2 linked regions of the Astyanax mexicanus genome follow. The protein of the gene in region 1 purifies or fractionates together with the protein of each later gene. This does not show direct contact. Links are inferred from orthologs where the notes say so. Each region holds a gene or a part of one and is shown on either strand. Other genes may lie near its edges. The genes, in order: cebpa and mrto4.

Region 1 (15,778 bases):
GCTGATGTTAGTCATACACTATTAGAGCTCAGCCACAGCAAGCTAACAGCTACGTAACTTCACAGGAATTACGGGGAATACCGCTAGCTAGCTGCGTTAGCTAGCCACTTTGTTAGCCTACTATTAGCTATGAAGCATTAGAGAGAGAGACTGTGTTCTTAACATACTTAGCAGAACGTTAGTTAGCTTTAGCTAGGCTATAAGTAAATAATACATTGTGACTAATGACTAATTTGACGTGTTACCTAACCTAGCTAACTACAGTTTACATCAGTGTCTAACAGTTATATCTGTCTGCTTACAAGTTAAGGGGTGTTCTGTCTAGTTCTGCAACCCATCGATATGCACTTCCTTCAGCACTGCGCATGCGCTGACCCTTTGCCCTTACATTTTTATAATTATTAAAAATATATAATTCTGTTTTACTCGGGTGTATTAACCTACACAACCTTAGTTTATTGTTATTTTTCTTGGATTTTTAGAATGTTATAAACGTATAACAGGCAGTTCATATAAAAACAAAAAGGAAAAAAAACTCTTGTAACCTCTATTATTTAGTATTATTATTTTTATTATTATGAACTTTACTTTATTAACTCAGACACACTAATTTAGGCTATCCAAATGTTCTACACAAACGTATTATGATAGTTATTTTGTATTTAACTTATTTAACGTCATTTATTTTACATTTCAATAGAACCTACACTAGAGTAGCAGAGTTTGACATTGGAGCAAAACTCGGCAGAACACAGGAATGAACTTGGTTAGCTTAGTTAGCGTTAGCTAGCTATGTTACATTCCAGTTAGCCGCTAGCAGACTAGCCACATTCCTAACAATAAGTACGGCTAGCTAGCTACATACAGTAGCTTAGTTACGTCAAAAGACACAGCCCTGCTAGCTGCTAACTAGCTTTAGTTTAGCCAGCTAATAACTAACTCGTGTTTTTTAGCTAGCTAGTTAGTGTCCTACAACAGTCCCCAATCTTAGAGTAAGTGTCATTAAAGAGGTTAAGTATAGGATATAATATTAGCTAAGCTAACGTTGTAACTACAGAAGTTGTGTTGCTGTAAAGCAGCAGTAATGAAACCTGTTCTGCGGTCCGGTTAGCAACAAGCAGCTAGCTACACAAGTTAGCCAGCTAGCTAACCGAGTATAGGACTACAAGGAATCTCTGTACTTAAAATTCCACTCCGGTTTTCTCCTCTTTCTCCCCTCAGACACACTTCTACCCGTCTTACCTGATCGAGGTTCAGATCCTGGGTTCAGTCATCCACTAAAACCGTGAGTAAATTCGTAGCCGCTCTAGTTGACGGGACAGAGACATCAGCGGAGCTGTTATTGTTTGGTACACTGAGCCGTGCCTGGCAGGATTGCGAAATCGTTTTTACCATGTAGGGAAGTCTGCCCGCTCAGCCAATCAGCGCTCAGCGCCGGGCAGGATGACGAAATGCAGCCTTTGACCGACAGCCCGCTGAACCAATCAGACGGTGAGACACAGTTCAGGGCGTGTTTATGTAACAAGAGAGTCATGAGATCATAGAGAGTGAATTATGCTCAGCTGGAGCGGTGCTGTTAGTGAACTGTGTAGAGTAAAGGTTCTCAACCTTTTCCACCTCACGACCCACCTGAGCATAACAAGAAAGCCCACAAGACAAAAGAAAAGAAAAGAAAAGGACAACTTATACGGCCATGACTCAATTACAGCTCTGGAAAAAAATGAAGAGACCACTTCAGTTTCTGAATCAGTTTCTCTGATTTTGCTATTTATAGGTATATGTTTGAATAAAATGAACGTTGTTTTTTTATTTTACAAACTACGGACAAAAAAAAATCTTTTAGAGCATTTATTTGCAGAAAATGAGAACTGGCTGAAATAACAAAAATGATGCAGAGCTTTTAGACCTAAAATAATGCAAAGAAAACAAGTTCATATTCATAAAGTTTTAAGAGTTCAGAAATCAATATTTGGTGGAATAACCCTGTTTTTTAATCACAGTTTTCATGCATCTTGGCATGTTCTCCTCCACCAGTCTTACACACTGCTTTTGGATAACTTTAGTCCACTCCGGGTGAAGAAATTCAAGCAGTTCAGCTTGGTTTGATGGCTTGTGATAATCCAGCTTCCTCTTGATTATATTCCAGAGGTTTTCAAATTGGTAAAATCAAAGAAACTTATCATTTTTAAGTGGTCTCTTATTTTTTTTCCAGCACTGTATTTTGTTCTGACACCTTAATAAGTCTTTCCCATGCATTAGGATCTTGTTCACATGCCTTAATAAGCAATGGCCACAAATTAATATATATTTTTAAGGCTCCATAGAGGCTCCATAAAAAATGTATATATAAAAATATTTTTAAGCTGTTTCCCTGTTGTCTGCGATGGTGACAGATGGTGACTTATTATGTTTATTTTGCCAAATTGCCTTTGGCATTACTCCAGCAATATGTTTCTATTTTTTGTTTTTCTATTATGTTTATGTAATTTTTATAGATTTTTTCTAGTGATGTTAATTGACTAAAAACTATTCTGTGATTAATTGTAAATAATCACATTTGTTCTTAATCCAAAAGAGGCTATCGTGATGTATGTGTCACAGGCCCTTCAAAAGCTGTGTAAAGTTCCTTACAGCACTATATAATATTTTTATTTCTGCTCCTGAAGTATCACTGACCTGTAGGGGTGTAGGAAAATACCAATATTGCATTGTAGTCCAGCATTAGGGTTCAGAACCACTCTACAGGACTTTAGTATTTTAAGGAGTTGCTTAATGGATTGGCAACCAGAATATATGAGAATAGACAGACATCACTAGCACTTAAATCAGTGGTTAAATTTGCAACAAATAGCATACTTTAGCAAAATTCCAGTAGACAGGCTGTTATGCTGGTAAGCTATGTTGGATCAAAATGTACCAGCACAACACAGACTAAAAAAAAGCAGGTTTCTAGAAGAAAACTCTTTATTAAAGCACCTTAATGGGTTCCTCTACTGCTTTAAACTGAAGAACCTCCTCAAAGAAGTTCTACTTTTAACAGAGTACCAGCTCTGAAACCTAAGGTTGGCCCACCAATAAGGGTGTGATATATTTTTGGAAAAGGCTGCTCACTAACCAACTGGCTTGCTTGCTACTATATTCATCCATATAATTCATTTTAAATTCTAATGGTGGGCTTATCCTGTTAAAACAAAAAAAAAAGAAAATATTTTTGTCTGTCTACTGAAACGTTGCCATGCTAGACAGACATAATGAGCTTTGTTAATGCTGTAAATTAAAAAATATAAATCTAAAACGCATTGTATTTTATCAAGAATTATTTACCTTTGTTATTGTTTACAGTGGTGACATGAGGTTAGACTAGTGTGTAGTTTGGTAAAATTAGCAAAAAATAATCAGGGATGGTGGGGGCATGTCTCTATAACTCTTGGAAATGCTTTACTTTGTCCCCAATACATTCTGAATTTCCCTATTGCCATTAGAAACCCATTCGGATGGAAACACACATTCTCTAGTGTAATCAGATATCCAGCCAGTATGCATTACTGGGCCAACTCTGACTTAGAGTCACCAATTTCAGCACAGCTGTGGGGCTGGATGGGTAATTATTATAGGAAATATTATTAATGAGAGCATATTTATGCAAATGTGTATCAGTAACTTGCATGGGTTGGTTCAACACAAATAACATTATTTTAAAATTTAATGCTTTAGTTAATAGTACAGCCCCATCCGGCATCCCTTTTTTAAGTTATACTACACTGTTATAACATAGAGAATAGATCAGTTCCTTTTATTTTTGAATGATATTAGCAGTTTTGGTCTTGTTATTTGGCTCTGCCCCATCATTTAGCACAATACTATACAGTGCAAGCATCTGTTAGCAGATATTAGAGAATTGGGAGACCAGCAGACAGTGTGACCTGAGGATCATTGGTTCCAATATTGGATCATAGTGCTTGCCATCAGCAGACGGAGTCTGAGAGAGCACAACTGACCTTGCTCTCTCTGTGTGGGTAGATGTCGCCCTTTCTCCCAGATCGTTCCTAATGTGTTGTTGGTCAGCACAGGCATCTGTTAGCTGATGTGTCGAAGCTCGGGTGCTGCACATTCCTCTGAGTGCAGTTGAGTGCATCCCCAGTGATGCTGCATCAGAGGTATTTTGATAAGAGGCAGGTTCTGACCCATAACACACGTATCAGAGGAGACATATGTAAGTCTTTACCCTTTTAGTGTTGAGGGGCATTTGTAGTGATAGAGGGAGTTCAAATAAATGGGGACTGGGTAATTGCCCTTACAATTTGGGGAGAAAATTAGGTCAAATTGCAAATATCCAAATGTGTTTAGCTGTCTAATGATGTCACATTATCAGCAGTTTAGAAAGCTGTAGTTGGACTACCCTGAACCATTGGGGTTTTGTAAGTGTAGTTAAGCCTGGACAGATTTGGTCATTCACTGTGCAGTGAATTACAGTTGTATGCCAAGGTTAAGGCACCCCTGGCCAAGATATCTATTACAGTAAATTGCTACATCTGTACACTGGGCATGTTTTCATGCATCAGGCTTGTTTAAGTGTTCTTTTAAAGACTTCTGAATCTGATGTTTGTGGCAAGGAAAGTTTTTCTTCCATCTTCCATATATTTGTAGGTGTCACTGCACAGTAGAACGGCGCACCACTACTTTAGAGTATGCTAAATATTTCAGAAATTTTAAGGTCTTAAAAACGAGTTGAAATAGGCTTTCCAGAAATCCAATAAGCAGTTCTCAACTTGACTACTTTAATTATTTTTATGAATTAGGAAATACTTTCCTTAAAACACTTTGCTTTGATTGTCTTGTAGCTGTTGATAGTTGAAGATATTTAGTCCTAGATAATTAAGTTATGAGACCTTAGTAAGAGTTCTCTAAGTGCTATTGGGTTGTACAATTATATTATATTATATTCATATAATAATACACTAACCCCTACCGTGATTTTGCTATTCTGTGTGTGTATTCAGTGCATGGAATCTAATATAACCATCACAATCATCTCGCATGTCACCAAATCAGAAAAGAAATCTGATCTAGGATCACAAATAAAAAGCTATTTTGACATTACCAGGATGAAGTGATTCAAATCAGGTTTTGTGTCAAATCAAACTGACACAGATTTGATTTTTTAGGGCGGTGTGAATATGACAATCAGATTTGACTACTTTTCACGTGTGTTCAGATACATATTAAATTTGTGAGGAAACAACATAAATGTGAACGCCCAGATCAGATTTAATGCATCTTTTTTTTAAAGCCCCTGCTTTAATCATAATTAGCCAGCACCAGTGTTGTGCTGAACTTTTTGTGCATGCATGTCAGTAAGCAGTATGGGCACAACAGATTATGCTTATGATTCCTGTTGTTTCTGTTTATGAATAACTATTATAATTAAACTTTCCTTCACAACAGCCACAGAGTCAGATTCTGTCAGGTAGTCAGATTCTGTCAGGGTCATTAATGAATGTGAATCATCAAGATCACCATTTTAATATGAGCGAAAAATCTGAATTGATTAATGGGTCCTGTAATGTGTGCAAAGTAAATAAATCAGATACAATACAGATAGAATAGATATGCAATATTGGACCACATATAAAAGTTACTTATTCAAATCTTATTTGAAAAAGTCTGGATGGCTTTGAAATGTCCACTCAACCCTAATACACATTAAGGCAAAAAAAATCTGATTAGAAACACTTTCTGGTAACGTGAATATGAGGCTGTATCCGTGTTTTAGAAAGGGCAAAAACAGAACTTGTTTAGTAGAATGTCTAATATTTTAACGTAATTGTTAGGAACTCAGCTCCTATTGACTGTGACCACAACAGTTTAATATCCAATGTATGTGAATATTAAGAATGTAAAACGTAGTCATCAGAGATGTATAGTAATGAAGTAGTACTTAAGTTTTACACTGATAAATGTTTATGTGCTGCATTGTTACTTATTCCAAACACACATTATCACTAAAGCCAGAGCGGCAGATGCTCTGTACTGTCACTGGGTTTGATGAAGGTGCTCATCAGTCATCACTGAGTGAATCAAGAGATCAAGCTGGTCTTATGAGAAGACCACACTGCTCCAATTCTGCATTTCACTCTGCTGCTTGCCTGTAATATTATATTCAAACTTTTGACTGCTTTTTGTAAGAACTACATAACACAATACTTTTACTTTTAGTACTTGAGTACTACATTTTGGAATAAACTAATTGCAGTACTTAAGTACAGTAAATGTTAAATACATTAATTGTAGAGCTTAAACTACACTTCAACTTCTACTCAAGTGACTTTTTTGATAGAGCACCTGCACTTTTTATTCAGGTCTCCAGTACTTTATACATGGAAGATAACATCATCATGCATAACCTACTAAATTGAGTAGTGAATTTATTGAATGGGTTAATGTGCAGTCCAGTTTATTGGAGGGTGTTAAACCTTTTATCTGTCCTATTTATGTTCACCATCTACAGTGTGGTTTCAGGAAATCTGTTAATGAGCAGCTTCTGACGTGTTCAGATTGTGTTGGACGTGTCTAGCATGACTTAGATTTACCCATAAAATGACGTTGTACATATTTACATTTCTAGCCAAAATATGAATGCCGGCCAATCAGGTAAATTATCTCAGCGGCCACCAAATGCATATTTTTTCCACATTGCTACATTTTTTGTTAACATAAAACGTATTGTTGCTTTTTGTTTAACCAACTTTCAGCTATTCAAACCTTTAAATTGTTTTTTTTTTACAATGTACTTGATTTTATATGAAATGCAATCTAAACTTTTTAAAGTTCATTACAGACAACAATGCAACCAAGACTTAGCTAATCATGCCAAGTCATTTAATTCAACATAAACAGAAAACAGTGTCCCACACAATGTCCGGTTATTGTGAAGATGTTTTTATTTAACGATCTCCTCGTGTGCGCTGTGTTTCCGAGTTTACCGTAACTGTTCCAGTCTGATACCGGTTATTACAGAAACAGCTCACGTTCTGGTGGGATGTGTATGTTAATATGTAAATGAAGCACTGGTGTCGCGCGCTGTAGCGGTAGAGGGAGCTCCCCGCTCGCCCTCTGCGCTGATGTGGGAGTGTGCGCGCGCGACCGTGTGTAGGCTATGTGTGTGCGCTATGTGCGCGAGTTTGTCGACGAGTTTGATTTGGCAGACTGAAGGTGAACACACGCACACACACACACACACACGCACACGCACGCACGCACACTTTTTGTGCGCTTTAATATCACACACGCTACTGATTTTAAGTTTAGATTAACGTTTATCATTATATGCATCATTATACTGTTTATTCATTTTTTATAAGTTTTTTTTATATTAGATTCAGCATCTATAAATGCGTTTTGGATTTCTAAGGTTCTAAACTGCTGAAAGCTGGCATTGAACATTTTTACTGCGTTTTACTGTGAGGCTGCAGAACTATCAGACAGAGATACCCACAGTACAACTGGTCAGCTGCGAAAGAACCAGTGCAGAATCATTTTGGTTCATGTTTTTTTAAAGGTTTGTGCTTTTGCTATTTTTTATTATTTATTTTATATTATTTTTATAGAAGGAAACTAACTTCAATAGATCAGGTTATACTATACAAATAAACTAATAAACATTTTATTAGCACGTTCCTGATCAAGTGTACAATTCAGTCGAATTAAACAGATACAAAAATTTAGATAAATTTTTATCTAAATTTTTAGCAATAAAGATTATTAGCGTGCAGATCAAATAAAAAATATGTATAGATCATATACATTATAACAATATCCTGTAGATATATACGATATAAGACTGTAGCTATATATTTTGTACATATACTAAAATATTGGTAAATACAAGCAATAGGCTATTTATTTATGCCTGGACAAGGATTAAGCCTAATAAAATACTATTTTATATTGTCCTTTTAATAGAGAAAATCTACATTCACAATACTGTGTAGTCCTAGATTTAAGACTAGACTTAATCCCTGTCTGTGAAACTGCCTATATATGTATTATCATTATTATTAGTGGTTATATATATTGATTGTTGCCGTTGTTCAGAGTGTGCAGTTAGGCATACAGCTTACTTACTCGTTCTGTTGCAGCGGAGTCTGCAGCTCTTTCTCTCTCTCTCTTTCTGTCTGTCTATCTCTCTTTCCCTCTCTCTTTTCTCACTTAATTTTGTGTCACTCTCTCCAAGTGAAAGTTATATTTATATAAGGCTAATATACAGTGTGTGTTATAGGCTATATAATATTTGCTTCGTTAAAACAAGACAGATGTGTGTTTTTTGGGGGATTTGCATGAACAATCTGAAGTCATATATCTCTTGGATATCTCTCTCTGTAAGTGTGTGTAAATGCGCTTAAAATCGACTCTCGTATTCAGAATATGAGGTGCTGCCAGGACTGCACGCTGTACGTGTGCGTTAGTTTCTGTCTCCCTTGTGTGTGTGTGTGTGTGTGTGTGTGTATGTGTGTGTGTGTGTGTGTGTGTGTGTGTGTGTGTGTGTGTGTCGCGTTAGGACCAGGGGCGCGGCCGTGCAGCTCGGCGCACACGGCTCTATAAAAAGCTCGAGCAGTTCGCTGTGTGTCAGACGGGAGGCACACGAGCTCAGTGAGAAGGTGCTGCTGCTCTACACGCACGCGCAAGCAGTCAGGCACGCACGCACGCATACTCACTCACTCACTCACCTACCCACCCACCTACCCATACGCACACACAAGTGCGCTCGCTCACACGTGCAGAGCGAGCGGGACCTGAGCGGGACCCCCGGCGGAGTGGCTGGCGCGCCTATACGCGGACGGACGGTCGGCGAGAGCCCGCTAAACTGGATTCCCGGAGCTCGTCACCATGGCCGGCGGCGTTTAGGTCCTCAATGGAGCAGCCCAACCTGTACGAGGTTGCCCCCCGGCCACCGCTCACCACCCTCTCTGCGAGCCCGCACGGCGCCTACTGCTACAAGGACGACCTGAGCGAGATCTGCGAGCACGAGAGCTCCATCGACATCAGCGCGTACATCGACCCAGCAGCGCTAAACGACGACTTCCTCGCCGACCTCTTCCACAGCAGCGGCGGCGGCGCAGGGGGACTTGGCGCACGGCACGACGCCAAGCTCAAGCTGGCCGCGGGTGACTACAGTGGAGGCTACGGGGACGGCGCGCCGCACGGCTACGGCTACGCGGGCGGCTACGTGGACCCGGTGAAGCTGGAGACGGCGTACGAGGCGCGCATGAGATCCGCGCTCGCCATCAAGCAAGAGCCGCGGGAGGACGACGAAGCCGGCCACGGGCCACCAATGCCGCCGCTGCCGCCACCAGCCTACCAGCACGCGCACCAACAGGGGCACGGACACCACCATCCTCCACACCTGCAGTACCAGATCGCGCACTGCGCGCAGACAGCCGTGCACCTGCAGCCGCCGGGACACCCGACGCCACCGCCCACCCCGGTGCCCAGCCCGCACCACCAACACCATCACCACCACCAGCAGCAGCACCACCACCACCATCACCAGCAGCACGGCGGCTCCATCAAACTGGTAGGAGGAGGAGGCAGTGGTGGTGGAGGGAGCGGAGATCGCTCCAAGTCCAAGAAGCACGTGGACAAGAGCAGTGTCGAGTACCGGCTGCGGCGAGAGCGCAACAACGTGGCCGTGCGCAAAAGCCGCGACAAGGCGAAGCTGCGCAACGCCGAGACGCAGCAGAAGGTCGTCGAACTGGCATCGGACAACGAGCGCCTGCGCAAGCGGGTCGAGCACCTCACGCGCGAGCTCGAGACTTTGCGCGGCATCTTCAGGCAGCTGCCCGACGGCTCGTTTGCCAAGGCGGTGGGCGGCTGCGCCTGAACTGACGGGGACGGTTTCTCTCGGTTCTCCCCTCTCGGTTCTCAGCTCCGCTACTCACAGCGTCCGCCGGATGGACTTCAAAGACGCGCGACACGATACTGAAAAAAGTGTTTTCCACACGAGCCAGGCAGCTGCGGTCTACATGTGCCTTTTGTACAAAAAAAATATTATTAATAATAATATTAATATTAATAATAATAATAATAAGCTCATGTCTGCACATATTTGAACTTGTGGACTTCATGGCTGTATTGAAGTTGTCTTTTCTGCCAACATATCATCATCATAGTCATCATCAGTGCAGCTCACGTAGGGCATGATTTCACTTCAAGCAACCGTCCTTCATGGTTCTGAAAGGTACCAACTTTTTCTACCATCACCCACAACCTTCACCCACCACCTTCATCCCCCCTCCAAGACTGTCTTTTTATGTTTTATTTTCTGCAAAGATAAATCTGCTCTGCGTGCACGAGCCTATTTGGTGTTATTTCTTAGAGACAAATACACAAAATGCACGTGCACAAAAAAAAAAAAAAAAAAAAAAACTTTGTTTTGTTGTTCTAAACATCTGCAGACATCGAAACTTGTTGAAAACTTGCAAGGCAAAGACATAGAAATAAAGGTGCGCAGATCAGATAATCAGATGAACCATAGTTCAGTACTGTAGTCTGGGATGTATTTTGACTGTAATGATGTGGTCTATGGGGGGCCGGTGGTATTGGGGCGGTTGGGGGGTTATGTATCTGTATGTATGCGTTTTTGTATGTGTACGTAAAGCGGACTGAACATGATGCCAATGCCATGCCAAAGCAAAAGGACTGGAAGCCCAAACTCTCTAAACTGTGGTCTAAACTGCTGCCTTCAGAGCAGCGGATTTATTATATGCACTATGTGTGGTCAGACTGATGGACCTGACGGAGCGCACGATTTTTTCGGGGTACTGATGTGTACAAGCTTTGTATTTATGCAGTAACGATGCTGGGTGGAAGGGTGTGTGTGAGTCTGTGTGTATGTGTGTGTGTGAGAGAGAAAGAAAGAATAAAAGAGTGTGAAAGGAAAGAAGGGGTCACCCTGCGCTTTCTCATCCCACCCCACCCCCGTGAAGTGCTGTTTGTAGCTCAGTTCATGTTCTTGTTGTTTTTTTTATTGTTTTTTTTTTTTTTTGATGAACTGAATTTCAGTGCCTTTCGACTTTTCCTGTCTCTATGTCACCACTGGCAGAACTTGTTTCTCTCTCTTTCTCTATGTCCCTCTCTCTCTCTCTCTCTCTCTCTCTCTCTCTCTCTCTCTCTCTCTCTCTCTCTCTCTCTCTCTGTTTCTATCTCTATCTTTTGGACTCTGTAAATCTTTGAAATACAGGCTAGAGCAAAGGAAAAGGAAGCACTTTTTTACAAACCGCCTATTGCAAATGTTATATGAATGTTTTAAAAATACTTTTTTTTTCAATTGTAAAATGAACATTATATATGCCAAAAATTTACAAATTATAATAAAAAGAGTATTGTGTTACATTTCCTCTTGCTGCTATCTTACTTCCATAGTGCTTACAAAGGTCAACAGACCTTTGAACTGATACGTGTGTTGGTATCTGTGTATTTCAGCTTCAAGACATATTTAAGAACCAGTTTAGTAAAAAAAATTATAATAATATATACTCCACAAACTCTAGACTTGGTTTAGAAATTGTTCAGTTATTAATCCTAATGCAGAAACAACTGTGAATGATTTGGTAATCATTTAGTTTAGCATATCATTTGGAGACCTACAGGGTTCAATTTTGGGGGCTATGAAATTGATGATAATTACGACAGCAGTGTTGTTATTAGAATTGTGGGCTTATACACAGTTTAAGGAGTTTAAGGGGTTAACTGCTAGAGAAAGAAATAGAGCATTTACTATAATGCTCGTTTGACCACTTATTAACTGTGTGTTGTGCTAACATGCTGTAGGAGACCCTGCATGTTGCAGTTTAAAGGTTACAGTACAGTAATGATTCTAAAGCTGAAGACTCTGAGTCTCTTGAGGATCAACCCCCTGTTGCTCTTGCCTCTAAGCAAATCTACTCAGGTGCAGTTATACTGTTTGCCAATAGACGGCGCCTGTAAGTCGCCTGACTTCTTTAACTTCCATGAGTCATGTTGAAAACACTGCTGATTACAACTCTGTAACTCTGGCATTGTTTTGATACAAAGAATACAATGCAGTATCATTAAAAACCCACCATGTCTAGATACAGATGTAGGTCCAGGTTTCAACACATTTACAGTGTGCAAAACTGACAGACATTCACTCTTTAACTGTATTCAAATGAATCCACAGCCACCACACCAAAAACAATTGATGCATTTACCTTAGAAAGTGACCAATTCTTACATTTACCATCATTATATTCTACAGTGTTCACCTAAAGGGTTAGATTCCATTCTTTATACACACATTTCCCTCCAAAAAAATTTCAGTCCACACAAAGACAAAAATGAAAAAGAGAGAAGCATTAGATAGATAGATAGATAGATAGATAGATAGATAGATAGATAGATAGATAGATAGATAGATAGATAGATAGATAGATATTTTTTTTATTCTAAAGAAGCACAAACAACAATAATAGGGGCGGTACAGCATAATTAAAAAAATAAGGTGCAGTAAGAAAATTAAAATTTCACTGCATACATTTTGAAAAATATTTTCACCTACACAAAGAGACAGAAAAGAGAAGAGGTAAAACTTTGAAAGAAAGAAACTGAATGTTTAAAACAACATATTTCCTTCTAAAAGAAAGAAAAAAACAGCTTTCCCTTGAAGCTACATACACACATATCTGGTTAAAACCAAAAAATCCCTCTGTTTTTTAAAAACATATATTTTAGTCCCCACAGAGAATTAGAAAAAAATAGAAAGAAATAAGCATTAGAAAGAATTACAGATTTACATTTAAATCACCCTCTCTTTTCCCTTTAAAAACAAATACTATTTCCACTAATACTACATTTAGACACATCTGGATATGTATTAAATAACTGAGATTTGGTTTCCTACATTAAAAAAATATATTTCTATCCACATGCAAACACAAATTATAAAGAAGGACGCATAATACAGAAATACGTTTGAAAAAGTAAAACAGTAACTCTCTCCACCTCCACCTAAAAGAAAAGACTGCTTTCCAAAACAGATATTTTCTCCCCTGATATGTTAAAAATATTTCAGTCAACACAGAGATTAGCAGAGTAACTTACATTTGAAACCCATTTCCCTACTCAAAAAGGAAAAAAAAAAACTTGCATAAAATGAGACATCAGGGTAGAAGTTTAATTCTAATACAGCTTCTTAAAAGTTGTGTTCCGTGCAAGAATTCTGGGTTTTAATTAAGGGAATCAAAATAGCGTACTATGTATTTATAATAGAACAAGCAGCATTTACATGCATTCATATTCATATTCATATGTTCTGAACAGCCTGAAAGCTACTGATATCAAAGTGTATACGTTGTAGTTTTATGACTTATCAAGTTAAGAAATTTCATTGTCAATTCTGCATATTGTCACTGTCCAATGAAAAGCAAGTATCTCCAAAACAGCGACTTTACAGGAAAGAGAAAAAACCTTCTACACTTTCAATGGAAGTCAATGTAAAATTGACTTTCAAGTTTCAGGGAATTTGAAGTATTTCTATTGGTCCGTTCATCAAGACATTCTGACAGTTTAAGGGACAGTTTGTTCAAATTCTGTAGTAAACTAAAAATCAGCAAAAATGGAGGTACTTGTTTTTCATTGGACAGCGATGATATGTACATTACAGAGAACTTTGGTTACTTTCTTTCCCAAAGTTACAGAAAAACACCCAACAAAAAAACAAAGTAATAGTTGACTAAAGTACTGCAAAATACAATTATAAATCATAAAAGAATGAAAGTTTATAGACAGACATATGTCAGACAAGAGACACTAGACAATAGTGCAATAGCAGAAAGGTGTGTTTTGTGACATCAGTGTTTTTTTATTATTAAAACTAATTTTCCCCAATCCACATAACAATAACGAAGATGGAGTTCTCTAAAACTTCTCCGCCTTGGGTTTTTTTTTTAGAGATTCCTCAAAGCACCTTAACCCCTTTAACCCTCTATGTAAACCCACATGTCCAATAACAACACTGTTAATAATAAGTATCATCTATTTCTTCAAGGGCCTTAAAATTGAACCCTGTAGGACTCAAGACCTTGAGGGAAACTAGCTCATTAACAGTTGTTTCTGCATTGGGATTAATAACAGAACAATAGCTGAACTGAATAATAATATATTGTTATGGCTGCTATGGGGTTCATTCATAGTTTCAAATGGAGGAGCCTCTAAAGTTCCTAAAAGTGATTGGACTTGATTGGACCGGATTGGAGGCTCTAAAATCCCCTTAATCTTGTTTAAGCAGCGCAGTCAGCGCTCCTGAGTGTGTCGGTGGTAATCATCCCCTATAACAAATATTTACTATCAGCTCTTACATATGCTGTAGATCACACATTACACTGCTGCGTCATCGGCGGAGCTGATAGCCGCTATCTTCCTGACCGTTCGTCAACACCAGTGATTGATTGGGGCTTTTGTCTTCATCTTTGAATTGATCAATTTGTCAGAGTATGATCAACAATTGAACACCACTGATAAGCACAGCAACTCCAAAGAGGCAGATAGAGTGAGTGAGTGAGTGAGTGAGTGTGTATGAGAAAGAGAGAGAGAGAGACAGAGAAAGAATTAAGCCTAATGCCCGAATCAGACTACACGAATTTAGCCCGATTTCGTCGGATCCGTGTAGTATGACATACAGGGGTTGGACAATGAAACTGAAACACCTTTCATTTTAGTGTGGGAGGTTTCATGGCTAAATTGGAGCAGCCTGGTGGCCAATCTTCATCAATTGCACATTGCACCAGTAAGAGCAGAGTGTGAAGGTTCAATTAGCAGGGTAAGAGCACAGTTCTGCTCAAAATATTGCAATGCACACAACATTATGGGTGACATACCAGAGTTCAAAAGAGGACAAATTGTTGGTGCACTTCTTACTGCCGCATCTTTGACCAAGACAGCAAGTCTTTGTGATTTATCAAGAGCCACGGTATCCAGGGTAATGTCAGCATACCACCAAGAAGGACAAAACACATCCAACAGGATTAACTGTGGACGCTGTAAGAGGAAGCTGTCTGAAAGGGATGTTCGGGTGCTAACCCGGATTGTTTCCAAAAAAACTTAAAACCACGGCTGATCAAATCACGGCAGAATTCAATGTGCACCTCAACTCTCCTCTTTCCACCAGAACTGTCCGTCGGGACAATAAGTTATTGTGGTCTAAAACCAGGTGTTTCATTTTCATTGTCCAACCCCTGTAGTCAAAGAGAAGTTTTCTGGACCAGCGAAACAGAATAAAAGTTTGTTGAGCTGTGGCATCAATACCCTGCCTTTATTCTGTTTATATTCTTTATTTATTTATTCTGTTCATTCCTTTATTCTGTTTCCATGCACTGAAACCTAGCTAAAGTAGCTACATCTTTACTATACCTCAAGTTCTCTCTGGAGTACACAAAGCCCTTGATGATCTCTTTGGGTCATCCAGGAAAGAGGCCACAGTTGCTTCTTCCTCTTCTTTTTGTGTTTTTCTAAGCACAAAAGCACTACCATCACTCAAAGCGCTTCGGTAGCCATGATTGTCAGATTCTATGCTCCTCTCCCGCGATGACCTACGAACTGTGTGCTGCCAGTACGACACAAAACAAAGATAACTGCTTAATCTGACCTAGTGAACATTGTGAGGGACAAAAAATGGTGTGTAGTCTGAGCTTTGCATGAAAGAGAGAGAGAGAAAGGGAGAGAGAGAGAGAGAGAGAGAGAGAGAAGGATATGTGTGGAACCT
Region 2 (15,741 bases), on another chromosome or scaffold:
TCAGATCTAATAGAATTATTATTAGAACAGTATAGATTTCTGGGTTTCTGGATTGAGACTAGTTTTTGACTGTTCCAACATTTAGTCATTTACAAAACCTAAAGCAGGGAGCTTTATTATAGAAACCGCAGATTTAACTGTTTACGCACTGCTTATATTACATCATTTTTCTCCTATTCCTGCTTAAAAGATTACTGTTTATGTTTTAGGGGGATCTTGGTGATGGTGTGATCATTGGGATGTCCAGTATGGAGCAGCTTCAGGAGAATTTAACAGCAGCTGAAGAAGGTCCTTTAAAGCAGGAAGTTGTGGATGCCTTCAAAAACGGCTGGAATCTGGTGGCCCACGAGTGTCCCAGCTACTTCCGTTAGATTCAGGTTGAGTTTAAGGAAAATCAGTGTTTTATTCAGATGGTCTATAAATAATAGCAATAAGCACTTTAAAATATTATGAAAAAAATGTTTTAAGGAACTTTTGTAATTCTACAGACACCTGTTTGTTTAGATTTCCCTAATAAATATAATAATAAAAATAATTTGCTGTGGATTCCATATTTGTTAGCCCTTAAGTGCACATATAACGATATGCTTACAACTTTGTGAACTAGAAAATGAAAGAAAATTCTAATAATAGTAATTTAAAGTTTAAAAATATAGAAATGTTCAGTTTGGGGAAGCACAAAAAATTAAATGTATACATTTTAATTAATTTTTCCTTCTTTTTTTTTTAAAACCCACAAAAAGTGAATTACTAATTTATACTGTATAAATGGAACAGCTTAGGTATTTTTGGCTTGAGTTTTTAAAAAGAATTAGGAGGATTTTTTTTTTTTTGGTGTGACAATTGGTAACAAGAACAAACGTTTGTAAAATAGTAAAATAATTTTACAAAATTATGAAGTTGCACATTAATTATATTAAACATTTTTAATTATATCACACCTTGTTGAAAATTTGCTTCCACGTTTTGCTGGTTTGGATGGTTTAAGTTGGGCTTTAATAGCCAAGATGAAAAAAATCTGGGCAAAAACGCATCATATACTGTTAGCAGGTTAACCAGTTCTTGACAAGCTTATAATGTTGCATTTGTTCATGACTGCAGATCAGCTATATCGTTAAATTCAAATCGCGAAATTAAAGCATACCCTATACTTTTTTTTTTTTTTTACCATTACGGACCATCAGTAAATGTTCCATTTAATTTGTAAATCAAGAGAACAGAGTCTGGAGGAAGAGTGGAGAAACACACAGTCCAAACTGCTTTAGGAAAAAAATATACTTTTTTCAATTAGTTCCAAAGACAAAAAGAGAATTACTAATTTGTACTGTATAAAATAAAGAGCTTAAGTGTATTATGACTTGATTTTTTTTTTTAAAGAAAAAAAAATGCAGGAGAAATTTGGTGTAAAACATGGTAACAACCTTTGTAGAATAGCCCACTTCCGTTAGCCCTCAGTATTCTGAAATACAGCACTTTTACCTGATGCTTTCCAACTGTTGTTTAAAATATCTTTATAATATGCATATAATCATGCATTTCCACAGAATTCATTTAGCAAACTTTTCCCCCCCAAACTTACCTACCTATTTGGTTTGTGCTTGGCGGTAGGTTTTCACGACTACCTTCTAAAAATGTGGTGCCCCGAGACCTACCTGAAGTGTATATAAAGTGTTTTTAATAAACTATCTGTGCACTTTTAAAGTCCTCAGTGCCTTGTTTTAAATGCCAGGGCTCTCAGAATTCTACCAATAAAGCGTGGAGCTACTTTGAGCTTGTTAATGGTGCAAAATAGCCTTTTTTTTCTTTGCACGGGTAAATTTATGCCCCCATCAGTAGCATTGTAAGCTTGCTGGGAGCATCAGCTAAAAAAACGCTTTATTTAGGAATGCTGAGGGAGAACAGAGGTGAGCTATTTTACATAAATTTATACTCATTCACTCGTTTCACTACAACCCAAATCCATTTTAATCTGGAGTTCTCCTTTAAAATCTGAATATTTTTACTTTTTATTTTTTCAACAGAATAGCTTTCATTTTAATTATGCAAAATTCCAAACTATAGTAAATGCTGAAACACACAGTTAACATGACATCTGGATTGGATGGGATTTAATCTATTTTTTTTTCCCTGATATCCAATCCACCATTTATTTTACTGATAGTCATTTTGAGATCAATATCCATTAATAATTACATGTCATTTGTAAATGTGGAAGCTGACAGTTTTGTGAACAATTTCAAACAGCCCTATGTTTTTTTTCTATCTTATCAGAGGTAGTGGATTCCACACAGAAGCTGATAACCTCCATTATTGATGTATATTTTAAGGAAAGAATCAAAAACACAATGATGTACAAAACTGAACTTGCTGGGTAACGGTTAGTCTGGATCACACACTCCAGAAACAAAACACACAGATATATAACCTGCTGCTGAAGGTCTGCTTGCACAATCTGATATAAAACATCCAAGAGAAAAAGTCCATTGACCACACACTCCTCCTCCAGTTTATTCAATCCCTTCATCCTCCTCTTCATCATCCTCCTCAAGATCTCTCTGGTCTCCTTCATCACCATCCAACATCTCAAAGTCTCCAGATTCAGAGTTCCACATACACTTTATGCTCAATTTGAATTCGGCCATTTCAAACCCAAAGAGTTTCTGGAATAAATTAAGAGATCAGATCAGTCTCTGTGAATAGAATACTCTTCATTCACTTAAAATACACTCTTTAACATCACTTTTATTCTAAGTGTTTTTAAGGTCTTTATACAGATACAAAATACAGCTGCAAAGTCTCCAACAGATGAATTTTATATATAATATCATGCAGAAACATCTACTTAACCTGATCATTAATTAATGAGTTAATCCAAAGAGGCCAGCAAAAAAACACTGGTCTCTTTGGACCCAAATCGAAGAACCCTGATTTAGTGTAAACTGTACCTTCCTCTACAGCAAACTGACAGTTCATCATTATTTTTATTACATTTATTTTAATTCTGAAATGTACTGGGATTATCTAAATTCAATAAAACATGAAGCCACATTTTTTTAGGATGTGCAGAATAACTTTTTATAGAATTAATTACAACAGTATTACTTATAAGAGCAAGAAATACCCATGTGAAAATTAGAAACTAAAAAGTATAATTAAATGTATGGTTGCATAATGTATGCATTTCCACCTGTGAACTGCACATATACCTCTTAATGTTGTCTAGTACAGATTAGTACAGATCTTTTTTTTATGTTATTGTTTAAAAATAAATAAATAAAATAAAAAAAAAAATTCTCAATTGTTAAAATACGAGTGTTACAATTAAGATTCGTATTCCTCACACAGTTTACAACTTCAGTTGTTTTATTTTAAACAAACACCACCATGTAAAAGTGATGCACAAGCTGTAGTTTTCCATATATTTTATTCTTTTTTTTGTAAGCAGCCCCCTTTTATCTTAACTGCAGCATTTATTATATTAAACATGGTGCAAAAATAACCTCCTTGTATTTCAAGGAAAAGAGTGAAATATATATAATATATAATCACTGCAACATAAAAAAAGGTTCTTTACAGGTTTCTGACAGAAACAAATATCTATAAACTGAGATTCACTCTGCAGCTTCTATGTGTAAAGATGAACAGTCTCAATTATGCCATTTTGGAAATCACATTAAAACATTATTTTCATGAATTTAATTAATTAAATGAACCTCCCAGCCCTACTAAAGCCCGAAATGATGTCAAGGCTACTCACCAGGATACGAGCCTGTTCAGGAGTGAGCGTGTCTCCCTCTTTACACACTTCATAATCTTTTATTAATGTCACCACTCCTGCAAAAAAACACACATTATACATTTTCATTAGCATTTTGAAAATTCGGATTAAAATCAATGGAACAAATTAAAACAATTTCCCATTAATTTAAACATAACTGAGAGTCGAGGCTAGTGTCTGAAGCTCACCTCTTTAGAGTTATGGACTAATGTGGTTTATATGTAAATTAAGTTTGTAGAACCTGAACAGCACTGTGCAAACTATTCACTTCACTATCACTTATCTGATTACATAATCATCTCAAAGCTTACTTTTAACTAATTGCATCCTGTATCATTATGAATGAGGTGTTACATATAAATCAGCCTGGACGTCATAATATAATAAGAAATAACATGGTATTATATAAATCGTATTATACAGTCATAAGCCTGTCTTACAACATTAGGCAAGTTATTAGATTATTAGGTTTTATTTACATTTTTGACTAAACCTCCAAAGTTATATTATGTTTTTGGGTGTAATTACATTAGTGGGAACTTAACAAAATCCATGTACGTTAAAAGGAATCTCAAAAGTAGGTTTATTTATGTTTTTTCTTCAAATGTATGACACACTTATCCCTATAAATGACAAATGTATGTCACCTGGCTAAAACCAGCAGAATCAGCCTTAGCAAAAAAATGAAATTTGTCTGTACTGGTATGTTCTTTAGTGTTTAAAGTGTGTTCTTCAGTGTCAAAAACTACTTAAACCACCAACAGGACAGCATTTTTGTCAATTTTCTTTCTGATATTACCTGCATAAATCTTGAGGATTTCTATTAATTGATATTTCTATATTTTCTAATTTAGCGTTACATAAAAAGGTTTCGTGCATGATAAGAAACATTACTAAATATCCTAATTGTAAGAAAATATTTACACATTTAAAAGTAAACCTGTCTAAATAAAACAAATTAAAAAAAAAAAGTCAATGTGCTTTCTAAACCTTATTTTTTTTAAATCAATATTTTCATCATACAAACATTGCTTGTCCTCCAAACCTTTAGTTTCGTTACAGATGTCTAGTCTTTCATGTATACTTTCAGACATGCAGAATTTGGGTTTTTCCTTTTACTAATCTGAAATTAAGTAAAGTAGAAAGAGAGTGGACAGGAAGTTTCTCCAAAGCCCTAAAAGGTTTGTATGTAAATGTAAATAACTTTTTTTTTTATTGTAGAGAAATAGGGTTTTGTATCATCTACATTTGTAGCCTGTATACGGGCCAAGGCCTTTTAAGGGGATAAGCCAATCAACTGAGATTACTTAAAAAATTGACATTATTTGATGCATCTGCTGATTTAGGCATGAAATTTGACGTTGGCCTCGTAGTTGCTTAGCGTAGCTTAAGAAGCAAACAATGCGTGGTCTCTGATTTTATAATAGAATACTGTAAAATGTGATTTCTAGCAAAATCAGAGATTAAGTTGGTTTAAATCATTTTAAATGAAAAAACTTTTTCTCCAAAAGCTTTTTTTTTTTTACCTTTTTTGAGAGCCGTGGGCAGTCCTAACTGTCTGAGCTGGGGCTCCATAGAGTGTGTGAACTGTTCTAGCGGCCCTTCGTCCAGCGTCACCGCCATCTGTGCAACATTACCAGACCGTGCGTAATCTACCTCCTTGAAACTGTTAAAATACCTAAACAAGGACACAAACATTCAACACTGCATCAAAATGCGAGATTTGAGTTTATTTTAACCCCATACAAAAGCACAGTCTATGAAAGAAGATAATTAAGACAATTTATACTAAATCAAGGCAGGCAGACTTGGGTGCATCTTTTGGTTCAAAGACCATGTGTTTTTTCATAATTTCAACACTATAGCACTTACTCTTGGACCTCCTCCTTGGTTTTGTTCGTGAACAAGACGCCCACCTCTCCTCTCAGAAATTTGCTGACCTATAAGACAGACAAGCACAAGGTTGTAAACCCAGCACAAAAGCTTCTTCATAACTTTATTTGTGAATATAGTTAAATAATTTGCATACCCGGTGCAAATTATCCTTGTATTCATCTGTTGGTCCTTTCCCGAGTGCGATCATCATCACCTTATTCTTTCCAAAAAAGAAACTTAAACACAAAACATGCATTTATATTAGAAAATACACAACTTAGCATTCCAGCTGTGATAAAATACACTAAAACAACGGGGTTTCAGAAAATTCAGTAAAGTATATTTAGTATCTCTCACCGGCTGTGTTTCCAAGCTGCTCTGATATCTTTCAGTTTGTTGTTTCTCATGTTTTCCACAGAGAATATGAACACGTATCTGTATGTGTCTACACATTTTCTGAGCTGGAAGGAGAGATGATGATACACAAATTAATACATTAACACATATATCAAATCAGGCATTACAGAATATTGCATAGCATGAAATATAACATGTTAGGCACTATTTTATGGTCCTTTTATAGATTACAAATCTATCAACCTACCAACAAACCAACCTGATTATAGAATGAATATACTAGTGTAATATACCATCAGTAAATTTTACATTTCATTTGTAAATCAAGGGAGCAGAGTCTGGAGGAAGAGTGGAGAGACACACAGTCCAAACTGCTCGAGGTCTCGTGTGAAGTTTCCACCAATCAGTGATGGTTTGTTTGGAGAGTCATGTCTGTCATCTGCTGGTGTTGATCCACTGTGTTTTATTATCAAGTCTAAAGTCAGTGCAGTTTTGTTTTCCCACAAAATCTTACAGCACTTCATGCTTTCCTCTGCTACTGACAACTTTTATGGAGGTGCGGATTTTATTTTCCAGCAGGACTTGGCACACTGCCCACACTGACAAAAGTACCAATCGGTCTTATATAATATCCTTAAATTTTTAGATTTTTGGGTTTTTATTGGCTGTAAGCCATAATCATCAACAATAAAATAAATAGACGCTTAAAATAGATCGCTCTGTGTTTAATACATCTACATAATATATGAGTTTCACATTTTGAATTGAATTACTGTAATAAAATAATGTGAATAGTTTTCAATGATATTCATTTTTTTTAGATGCAATAGTATTAGCTCTCTAGATGTTGCAGGGAAGGTCATGGTAGGACACTGATAACATTTTAAAAACAGTAATGTTGCTCTTAACAAAAATTAATTGACGTAAATGTGGGGTGTATTAAAAATAACTAGACCTAATTTTACTAATATGAAGAAAAAAGAAAAAGAACAAAACACTAACCTCTTCAATCAGGTTCTGCTTTGCTTCTAGACCCTTTTTGGCTGTTTTTGTCAAGGAGACTGTAAAGAGAGAAGGTTGATTAATTAATAAAAAGGCACAAAACATATAAAAAAAACTGATCCACAGACCCATACTGAATAAGTTAACTGCGTTCACTAGTTCACAGCAAGCTAACAGGGGTAAAATAAGTGTAACACGTGTAGAAAGTTAACAAAGCATCACCAGCTACAGCCTAACTGTTAGTTAACTGTTATTTATGTACAGAAAAGGAAGAAAAGACAGAAAACAATCCATATTTTTACTAAAACTAAAACTAAATAATTAGTTCCTGCTTTGCTTCTAGACTCTTTTTGTCTGTTTTTGTCAAGGAGACTGTAAAGAGAGAAGGTTATCTAATTAATGAAAAGGCACAAAACATATAAAAACACATTACAACATGATCCACAGAGCCATACTGGATAAGTTAACTACGTTCACTAGTTTACAGCAAGCTAACTGTTATTTATGTACAAAAAAGGAGGAAAAGACAGAAAATAATCCATATTTTTACTAAAACTTTTACTAAAACTATTAAAACTATTTTGTTTTACTAAAACTATATAAATAGGTTCTGCTTTGCTTCTAGACTCATTTTGGCTGTTTTTCTCAAGGAGACTGTAGAGAAAGAAGGTTTATGAATTAATGAAAAGGCACAAAACACATAAAAAACAAACATATAAATACACATTACTACATGATCCACAGACCCATACTGTTTAAGTTAACTACGTTGACTGGTTTACAGCAAGCTAAAAGGGCCAAAATGAGTGTAAAAAGCTAACAAAGCATCACCAGCTACAGCTTAACTGTTATTTATGTACAAAAAAGGAAGAAAAGCCAGAAAATAATCCATATTTTTACTAAAACTATGTACATACACACAAACACACACACGCTGGTAGTGTTTAGCTCCTGCCTGTTAGCCAGGCATGCTGCCCAGCCGTTTCTCTGTAGGTTTTAATGCTAATCTAAGAAGAGTCAGTGACTTCTTTAAGAATAAAGCAGATTATTGAGGTAAAATATCGACGAAAACACTTTTAAACCGGTTTAAATACCTTTCTTATCCCTCTTCGACTTCGGCATGGCTCTCACGTTGCTCTCTCTCTTCTTCTAAGACTTAGAAACTGCGCTAAAACCCCGCACTGCCCCCTACCGCAGCCTGCAGAGCCTGAGAGAGCATGTGTGAAGCAGGAAGCAGGTATGTGATGAGAAAGTTACAGCTCTTCACCAACAGGTGGCGCCAAAATCAACAAAATAAATGAGTCTCAAATTTCCAATTTAATGCTTTCACTGATTTGGAGAATTCTTCTAAAGGATTGAATATAGTTAAACTATATTGCCCATTGTATTTATTGTATTTATCCCCCCCCCCCCCCATTGTTTATTTATTTAATAAAAATTCGCATTACCTGCATTTGCGTCCGCCTCCACGTCTTTCTGCCTGCATTCCCTGACACATTAAAACATTCATTTTACTGTGGAACGGATGTTGGATGATGTGCTATGGATTACAATGCCACTTTAGCTCATCCCTAATGCACTGAATGGAGGTCCATCACTCCATAGAACACAGTTCCACTGCCACACAGTCCCAAAACGCTCGGGGGTCGTTATACTCCTCTAGCCAACACCGTTCTATTGGTCAGTGCTTTTCTATGGAGCTTATCATACATACACTCTGTACAACAGTATGCCTGACTAGCTTTGTCAGCAGTATGTGCAGCTTGTAATAGTAACAGGAGGCCTGTCTGGATACTATTGAAAATATAATGTATTTACTGCAGTATTGCAGCCTGCTTCTTGCCACGGCTGCAAAACCTTTAAAATTACTCAATATGAACAAATATTTTCCATTACAACAATCTTTCTCAGTTTAAATTAGTTAATCTACAAAAGTGGATATACAAAGCATATTTTTATTGCTCTAAAGCAGAAGAATCAGTATTTTTTGCTAGGTAAGCTGTACAAAACACACATTTCCTCTGAGTAAATGTAAGGAGAGTTGCATCTGAGCCACTTTGTAGAAATCAGATTATAAAACAGCCCACGGTTATGTAAGAATGTACTCATATTAGGTGTGTTTCAAGAGCAGGTACTGAGATGCTTCAGAGAAATGATTATTTCTGAAGGATGCTCGAGACTGCACACGCTTGCAGGGTTATATAATAATTTGACTCTTCTCTAGAGATGATGGCTCATTAACCTTTATTATATAACGATGGAAAGACAGGTCATAACATACAGCAATAGGCTTTTAAGCTTTTGCAAAGAATGAATCATATCTTGTTACTGTGGCAAATATACAGAAACCCATCACATAGGATACTTTATAGTTCTATATAACTACAGACTGTAGTCCTGTATCTGTTTACTTTTCTATTTACATATTTTATTTGTTACTTTATTATTATTATCTTCCTTTCATCCAGTTTTTCACCACAGAGCAGCTATTACTGTTATTATTTTGATGGAAGGTCTTATTATTCTCAGCACTGCAGTGACTGTACTTGCATGGTGGTGGTGTATGAGGTGTTAGTGTGTGTTGTGCTGGTACAGGTGGATCAGATACAGCAGTGCTGTGTCTGTGACGTAGGCGTAGTTTTTTTTTAATGCTATTTTTATTTTATATAAAGTTGGTGTAATAATCACAATATAGCAAAGTAACAATTCAAACTATGTTCATAAAAAAAGTTGCACAAGTGCGCCGTGAACACTCCACTCTGCCTTACGCACTTGACTTGTTTGTGTTTTAATCTGTTGGAGATCTATTCTTATTCAAAAGGTTATTTTTACTGGAGAAAGTATTTTTTTTAGATGACTTTTTACTTCTACTCCTCACATTTTCACACAATTATCTGAACTTTTTACTCCCTAAATTTTAAAAATAGATTGGATGAGGAGTATAAACATATACCATTGCGACACCCTATTGGTTTATACTGTGATATACCTTTATACTTTTTTATATATTTTTATACCTTTTAACAAAACATAATGAATTCCATGAAGATTTATAAATTCTGGAACATTTACTTCTCAAATTATGACATTTTTGAGCAGCTCTATGTCTTCTGGTATGAAGGAAAATAATAGCATGTGGCTGTCTCCTAACATAACTGTGTTATTAAACAAGTCAAAGGGGAACTGACAAAATAGGCTGGGGTTCAAATGGTTAACATTTTAACCTAATATTATAGACAATATGGTTTAAATTTTTTTTTATACTTTAAGCAGTTTCACATTTTTACTTGAGTTAAAATAATATATATTATTTACTTTTATCAAAATCTATTAGTTTATGATCTTATTCCTCAGAATCTGAACGCATAGGATGGGCATGGAACGAATGTAGGCGTGGTTTATGCAATGGGCGTGTTTGTAGTGGGCGTGGCCTGTAGCCCTGCAGTCCGACTCCTGCCTCTGACCGGAGGGGGGCGTGGCTCTCGATGCGGTCACTGCGCTTTAGCGCCGCTGTAATACGACCCGTTATCTGCTGGATATAAACCAAGAAACCGGGCTGCTGAATTTCTGCTGCTGCTACTGCTGAAGGAGCACGCGGTGAGAGGAGCTGGAGGTGACAGCTCGGGGAGGTGACAGTGCTTTATTATTAGTAGTATAAAACGTGAGTTTTAAGTGATAAAAGCTGAAATAAAACTTTTATTTTATTTTTTTGCGATTTCTCAGGATGAAGTCGAGCTGACCCGCTCTTGAGACGCGAATTAACTAACTGGATGGACTGAATAATTACAAACTGGTTAAAAACTGCTGAAACATGCTGAAAAGATAGGAAAATACGCATAGTGATGGTGGAGTCACTCGCCGTCACTGTTCCGCTTGAGTTTGGAGGTTTATTGGATGTTTTAGACGTGGGCAGACGTTAAAAACAGTGGGTTTGGACTGTTCGGATAGCTAACTAGCGCTAGCTCTATCATACAGATAGAGCGGCTGGCTCCAGTACCGCAGCAGCCGTACCGCAGCGCTACACACAGTGGCTCAACCCAGGATGAGCTCGCTGCTATTCGGCGACGGTCTGCCCCCGGCCGCCGCGATGCTCACGACCCTCCCGGGAGGTATCGGTGGTATCGGAGGGTCCGGAGCGCCCGCAGCCGCCCTGAGGAACGACCTGGGCTCCAACATCCACGTCCTGAAGACGCTGAACCTGCGCTTCCGCTGCTTCCTCGCCAAAGTCCACGAGTTGGAGCGGCGGAACAAGCTGCTGGAGAGCCAGCTGCAGCAAGCCGCCGAGCGGGCCAGGTACCACAGCCTGTTCGCGCGGGACGTCGCGGTGCAGACCGACTCCCCGCAGGAGCCGCGGCTGCCCGGCACGATCTGGAGCTACACGCACGTGCGGAGGTCCGGGGAGCGGGTGGAGACCCTGCACGGGCCCGGGGTGTCCTGGACCCATCCGGACGGGGTCGGGGTGCAGATCGATACCATCACTCCGGAGCTCCGAGCCCTGTACAACGTACTGGCCAAGGTGAAGAGAGAGAGGGACGAGTACAAGAGAAAGTAAGTGTCCTGTTTAAATAAGGCTAGTTTATATTTTTAAATGATGAGTGATTTCAGCACTCCAGCATGTTTATCTTCATGTGCTTTCATACTGCATAAATTCATATATATGCATTACAGCCTACTGTGTTTATACTGAGTCCCAAATAGGGGGCCCTAAACAATTTTACAACATTACCATATGAAAAATAGGGAAAAAATATTTAATTCATTTCAATAATATACATACTTCTGCAACAAAACACATGTTAAAACATTGTTCTTCATTCATTTATTAATTTCGTTTTTGTTGTTTTGTAGCAACAGAAACTTAACAACTTACCTATTATTTTTTATTGCACTACTGTACAGATCTGGAAAAAATAAGAGACCATTTAAAATAATGAGTTTCTTTGATTTTACCAAATTGTGGCATAAAGTGGCATAAAGTTATCCAAAAGCAGTGTGTATGCTCATTTTACTCAAACATATACCTATAAATAGCGACATTAGAGAAGCAGAAACTAAACTGGTCTCTTATTTTTTTCCAGAGCTGTACTTAAGTACTAAAATACTGTATCTGTATCTCCTGGGGTATTATATTTACTTCACTACTGTACTTAAGTACTAAAATACTGTATCTGTATCTCCTGGGGTATTATATTTACTTCACTACTGTACTTAAGTACTAAAATACTGTATCTGTATCTACTGGAGTATTATTTTTACTTCACTACTGTACTTAAGTACTAAAATACTGTATCTGTATCTACTGGAGTATTATTTTTCTCCTACTTACACTTTTACTTTACCACATATGTTGGATGAGTTTAATAGTTTTCCTCCGATACATTTTTTATGTGCTGCATCATTACTCGTTACAGTTATTGATTACTCAGATAGAAATAGAAGAAGTATCAACTCATGCTTTTTCTCAAGTAAAAGTGTAATAGTAGTGGTTTCAAAACTAAACATAATTTAAGGTGAAATATGTGAGATATTTGCCTATGTGAGATAAAGGTCTTCTAAAGTTGTTTTCGAACAGTCTTGAATGTCTGGAACTTGTTGGCTGCTTTTCTTTTGCATGTGTGGTCTAACTCATCCCAAGCCATTTTAATTGGCATTAGGTCATGTGACTGTGGCAGGCAAACACTTTTGGTATTCTGCATTTTATCCTACAATGTAGAAATGAATAAAGATAACCTTTGACTGGTTCTGATTATATATGGCTTTAGATTGACTTAGATCTCTTGAGCCCCAGTCCAGGCCCAATGCTATAAAACCACAGCTGGTCCTGAAATTAGTTAATACCTACAAACATTGACTCCTTGAGTACAGACTGATTTACAGTACAGTCCTGAAATCTGCCTTTTTGTAACATTTCCCAAACATGGCAGGTCTACAGCTTAATAGAACTGCACTGGATTTAAAGCCTCTGCTCCATGTTTTTTGTTGCTGAAGGCAGACTGATTCATTGCAGTGGAATATCTTGGCAGCAGAACAGCAAAAATGACCAGACTGCTTTAGAGTGGAACCCAAAGGAAGGGGCGTGTTTTTAAAATGTGTTTTTGGAGGACAGGCTTTGATGAATAAAGGGTATTGAAGGCTCTTGGTTCAGCATAGCTAAGTAATTCATAGCCCACAGCAGGGGTCCTTAACTCTAGTTCTGCGAGGCTGGTGTCCAGCACAGTTTCCTTAGTCAAATACTGGATGTGGAATCACATCATGGAGTCGTTGAGTGATGGGATGAATCAGATATGTGTCAGCTGGGAAATTACTGAAATGGACAGATGATTTTCCTAGATTTTAGTAATATCACATGGTCATTCAGGTGAATTAATACTGTATTTGTAAGGATGTTATACTTACAAACCATGGAAGGAATTGAAAATGGTGCACCTTCTTAACTTTTTAAGTTTTCTAGCAATATTTTGATAAAATATACAGTCAAAGACGTTATTAATATGGAGACTATCTCTTGGAACACTAAACTTAGTCGCTGTTTATGGATAGTCAAAGTCAAGCCCTTCAACAAAAAGAGCCAATTCAGTCCAATAGAGATCAAGTGTTGGCATGCTGGTGGGGAAGCCTTTCCTCATTATGGAGATCTGTGCAAGCTCACTATCCATACCAGTATGAATAATCTCATTTTTTGTGCTTTATTAAGACAAACGCTACTACTAGTCTTTATCACGATTTAAAATGTCTTTTTTAAACAGTAATCTGACCTTCAGTTTCCAGAATTGTGGTCTCTCCCTATTCAAATAGATGAAAAGCTGGTCCTGCATAACTAGAAATAACTTAATAAAGTTGGTCGCCAAATTGATTGACTTTTCTGTAATGACGTTGTTCGGATCTTTGGCCGTTTGGATCAGGATAGTCACAATTACACAGTAACAGTCAGGCTTAGCAGAGTTGCACCAAGTTAGCCATGATGCTATAAGCCTGGCTCAGCAGGGTTGGAGCAGCAATGCTAACAGTTGGCCTAGGTAGAGTTGGAGCTGCAATGCTAACAAACATAGCATTCAGGCTGAAGATTCTAAAGTGTGTTTAGTAGCTGCTTTTCCTGGTCTTTGTAACACCATTGTAATAATCAAGCAGGAGAGGCTTAATAAACAATAAACAATTAATTTTGGTCTGAGATACTGGTGCATTAGCATGTGGCAGAAATTATTTACTCTCAGAACTCACATATTGTTCCTTTAAATAGTGTTAAATAGTTGTTTTTCCATAGTTGACTGGCTTTCTTATAATACATACTTGGACATTTCTTGGAGATACTTCTGTAAAACTTCTGGCTGTAATTACCTACTTATGGATACTTGATCATAAATGGCTAAGGTGTTTGAAGTTGTTTGGAAGGAATGAATATGGGACATTTAACTGAACAATTTTCTGTGGATATTCAGTACAGAATCATATCCTATTTTAACGCAGTGCCACCTGAGGGTCCGAAGATCACCAGCATCCAGTATGGACTGTTGGCTGACTTGTACTTTACACTGAATCTTTTGATGATGTTATGTACTGTACGGTATATACTCTGGAACCGTCCCACACTGGAGGCACTAGAAGCCCCCTACACTTCCCTGTTTTCCCCTCACACACAGTATCATCAGATAATTATCACATCTCTGAGCTGAATCACTTGTGGCAGAAAAAAGGAAACAGTAGTCGCCAGTTTATGAGAAGGAAACTTCTCTTCTGTGTTTTTCAGGCTTGTTTGTTTGTTAAGGGAGTTGCCTGGAGATGCTTCTGTAGAACTTCTGGCTCTAATGAGCAGCGACTGAGCCGTATGTGGGCGCTTGATCAAAAATTACTTAGGTGTTTGAAGTCATTTGAAAGGAATGTGGGACATTTCATCCTGTTCTCTGTATTTTTCTGCATTGCTCTCTTTTCTATGAGCTTTTGGGATTCATTTGCTTTATGAAAACAGTGGACATTCACCAACAAATGGCTGGCTAAACATACAGTATACTGCGTTGCCACTTTGTTGGGAAAACATACAGTACCAACACTGTATCAAAAGTTTGGAAACATCTCTTAATATTCAATGTGTTTTCTTTCTTTTAATGATTTTTTTTACATTGTAAATTTAATATGGAAGACTATTTAAAAACTATACAGGAACACATGCAGAATTATTCTGTAAACAAACAGAATATATTTTATACTTTAGATTCTTCTAAATAGCACATGTATCTTTGAGGACAAATCTGCAGACTCTTGGTGAGATTTTAATCTCAGTATCTTCATGAGGGAGAGTCCCCTGGAATAGTTTTCTCAGCGTCTTGAAGGAAGGAGTTCCTGGAGGTGCTGAACAATAGCTGCTGCTTTTCCTTCACGCTGTGAAGCTCCAGCTCATCCCAATTAAATCACCTCAAATCACCATCTCAGTTCATCAGGTTTAGATTAAGAAAGAAATAAAGAAAAACACTGAATGAGCTCTTGACTGGTATTGTACCTTATACCTGCAGCAGCTGGCTACCTACAATATGCATTATAAATTAAAATAATTTTTAAAAAGTATTTAGAAAGAGTTATTTGAATCATGTGGAACACAGGAACCCATTTTGGTTCTCATTTTGGAGAACCACTTATAAAGTTAAATGATCTTCACATCAGGTTTTTACTAGTGTACGGATGTTTTTTCATACAATGCTTTCTTAAAGAAAGTGTAAAGAACCTTCTATTAGGGAGTA

The links.
Region 2: the proteins of cebpa (region 1) and mrto4 purify together in Homo sapiens (affinity purification with mass spectrometry; 3 studies listed by BioGRID and IntAct, with this or other methods). This does not show direct contact. The link is inferred for Astyanax mexicanus from reciprocal best matches to the Homo sapiens genes CEBPA and MRTO4.

Annotation. Positions count from the first base shown.
Region 1 is NC_064430.1:12,441,416-12,457,193, reverse strand, and holds cebpa (CCAAT/enhancer-binding protein alpha), read left to right. Parts: upstream 1-8,610; 5' UTR 8,611-8,911; coding exon 8,912-9,880; 3' UTR 9,881-11,391; downstream 11,392-15,778. UniProt on the Homo sapiens protein: Transcription factor that coordinates proliferation arrest and the differentiation of myeloid progenitors, adipocytes, hepatocytes, and cells of the lung and the placenta.
Region 2 is NC_064431.1:3,983,851-3,999,591, reverse strand, and holds mrto4 (mRNA turnover protein 4 homolog), read right to left. Parts: upstream 8,233-15,741; 5' UTR 8,135-8,232; coding exon 8,107-8,134; intron 7,072-8,106; coding exon 7,013-7,071; intron 6,115-7,012; coding exon 6,011-6,114; intron 5,890-6,010; coding exon 5,808-5,889; intron 5,719-5,807; coding exon 5,651-5,718; intron 5,457-5,650; coding exon 5,305-5,456; intron 3,835-5,304; coding exon 3,758-3,834; intron 2,661-3,757; coding exon 2,508-2,660; 3' UTR 2,081-2,507; downstream 1-2,080. Other genes in the region: aflatoxin B1 aldehyde reductase member 4, read left to right, coding at 210-371; iffo2b (intermediate filament family orphan 2), read left to right, coding at 11,055-11,560. UniProt on the Homo sapiens protein: Component of the ribosome assembly machinery. Nuclear paralog of the ribosomal protein P0, it binds pre-60S subunits at an early stage of assembly in the nucleolus, and is replaced by P0 in cytoplasmic pre-60S subunits and mature 80S ribosomes.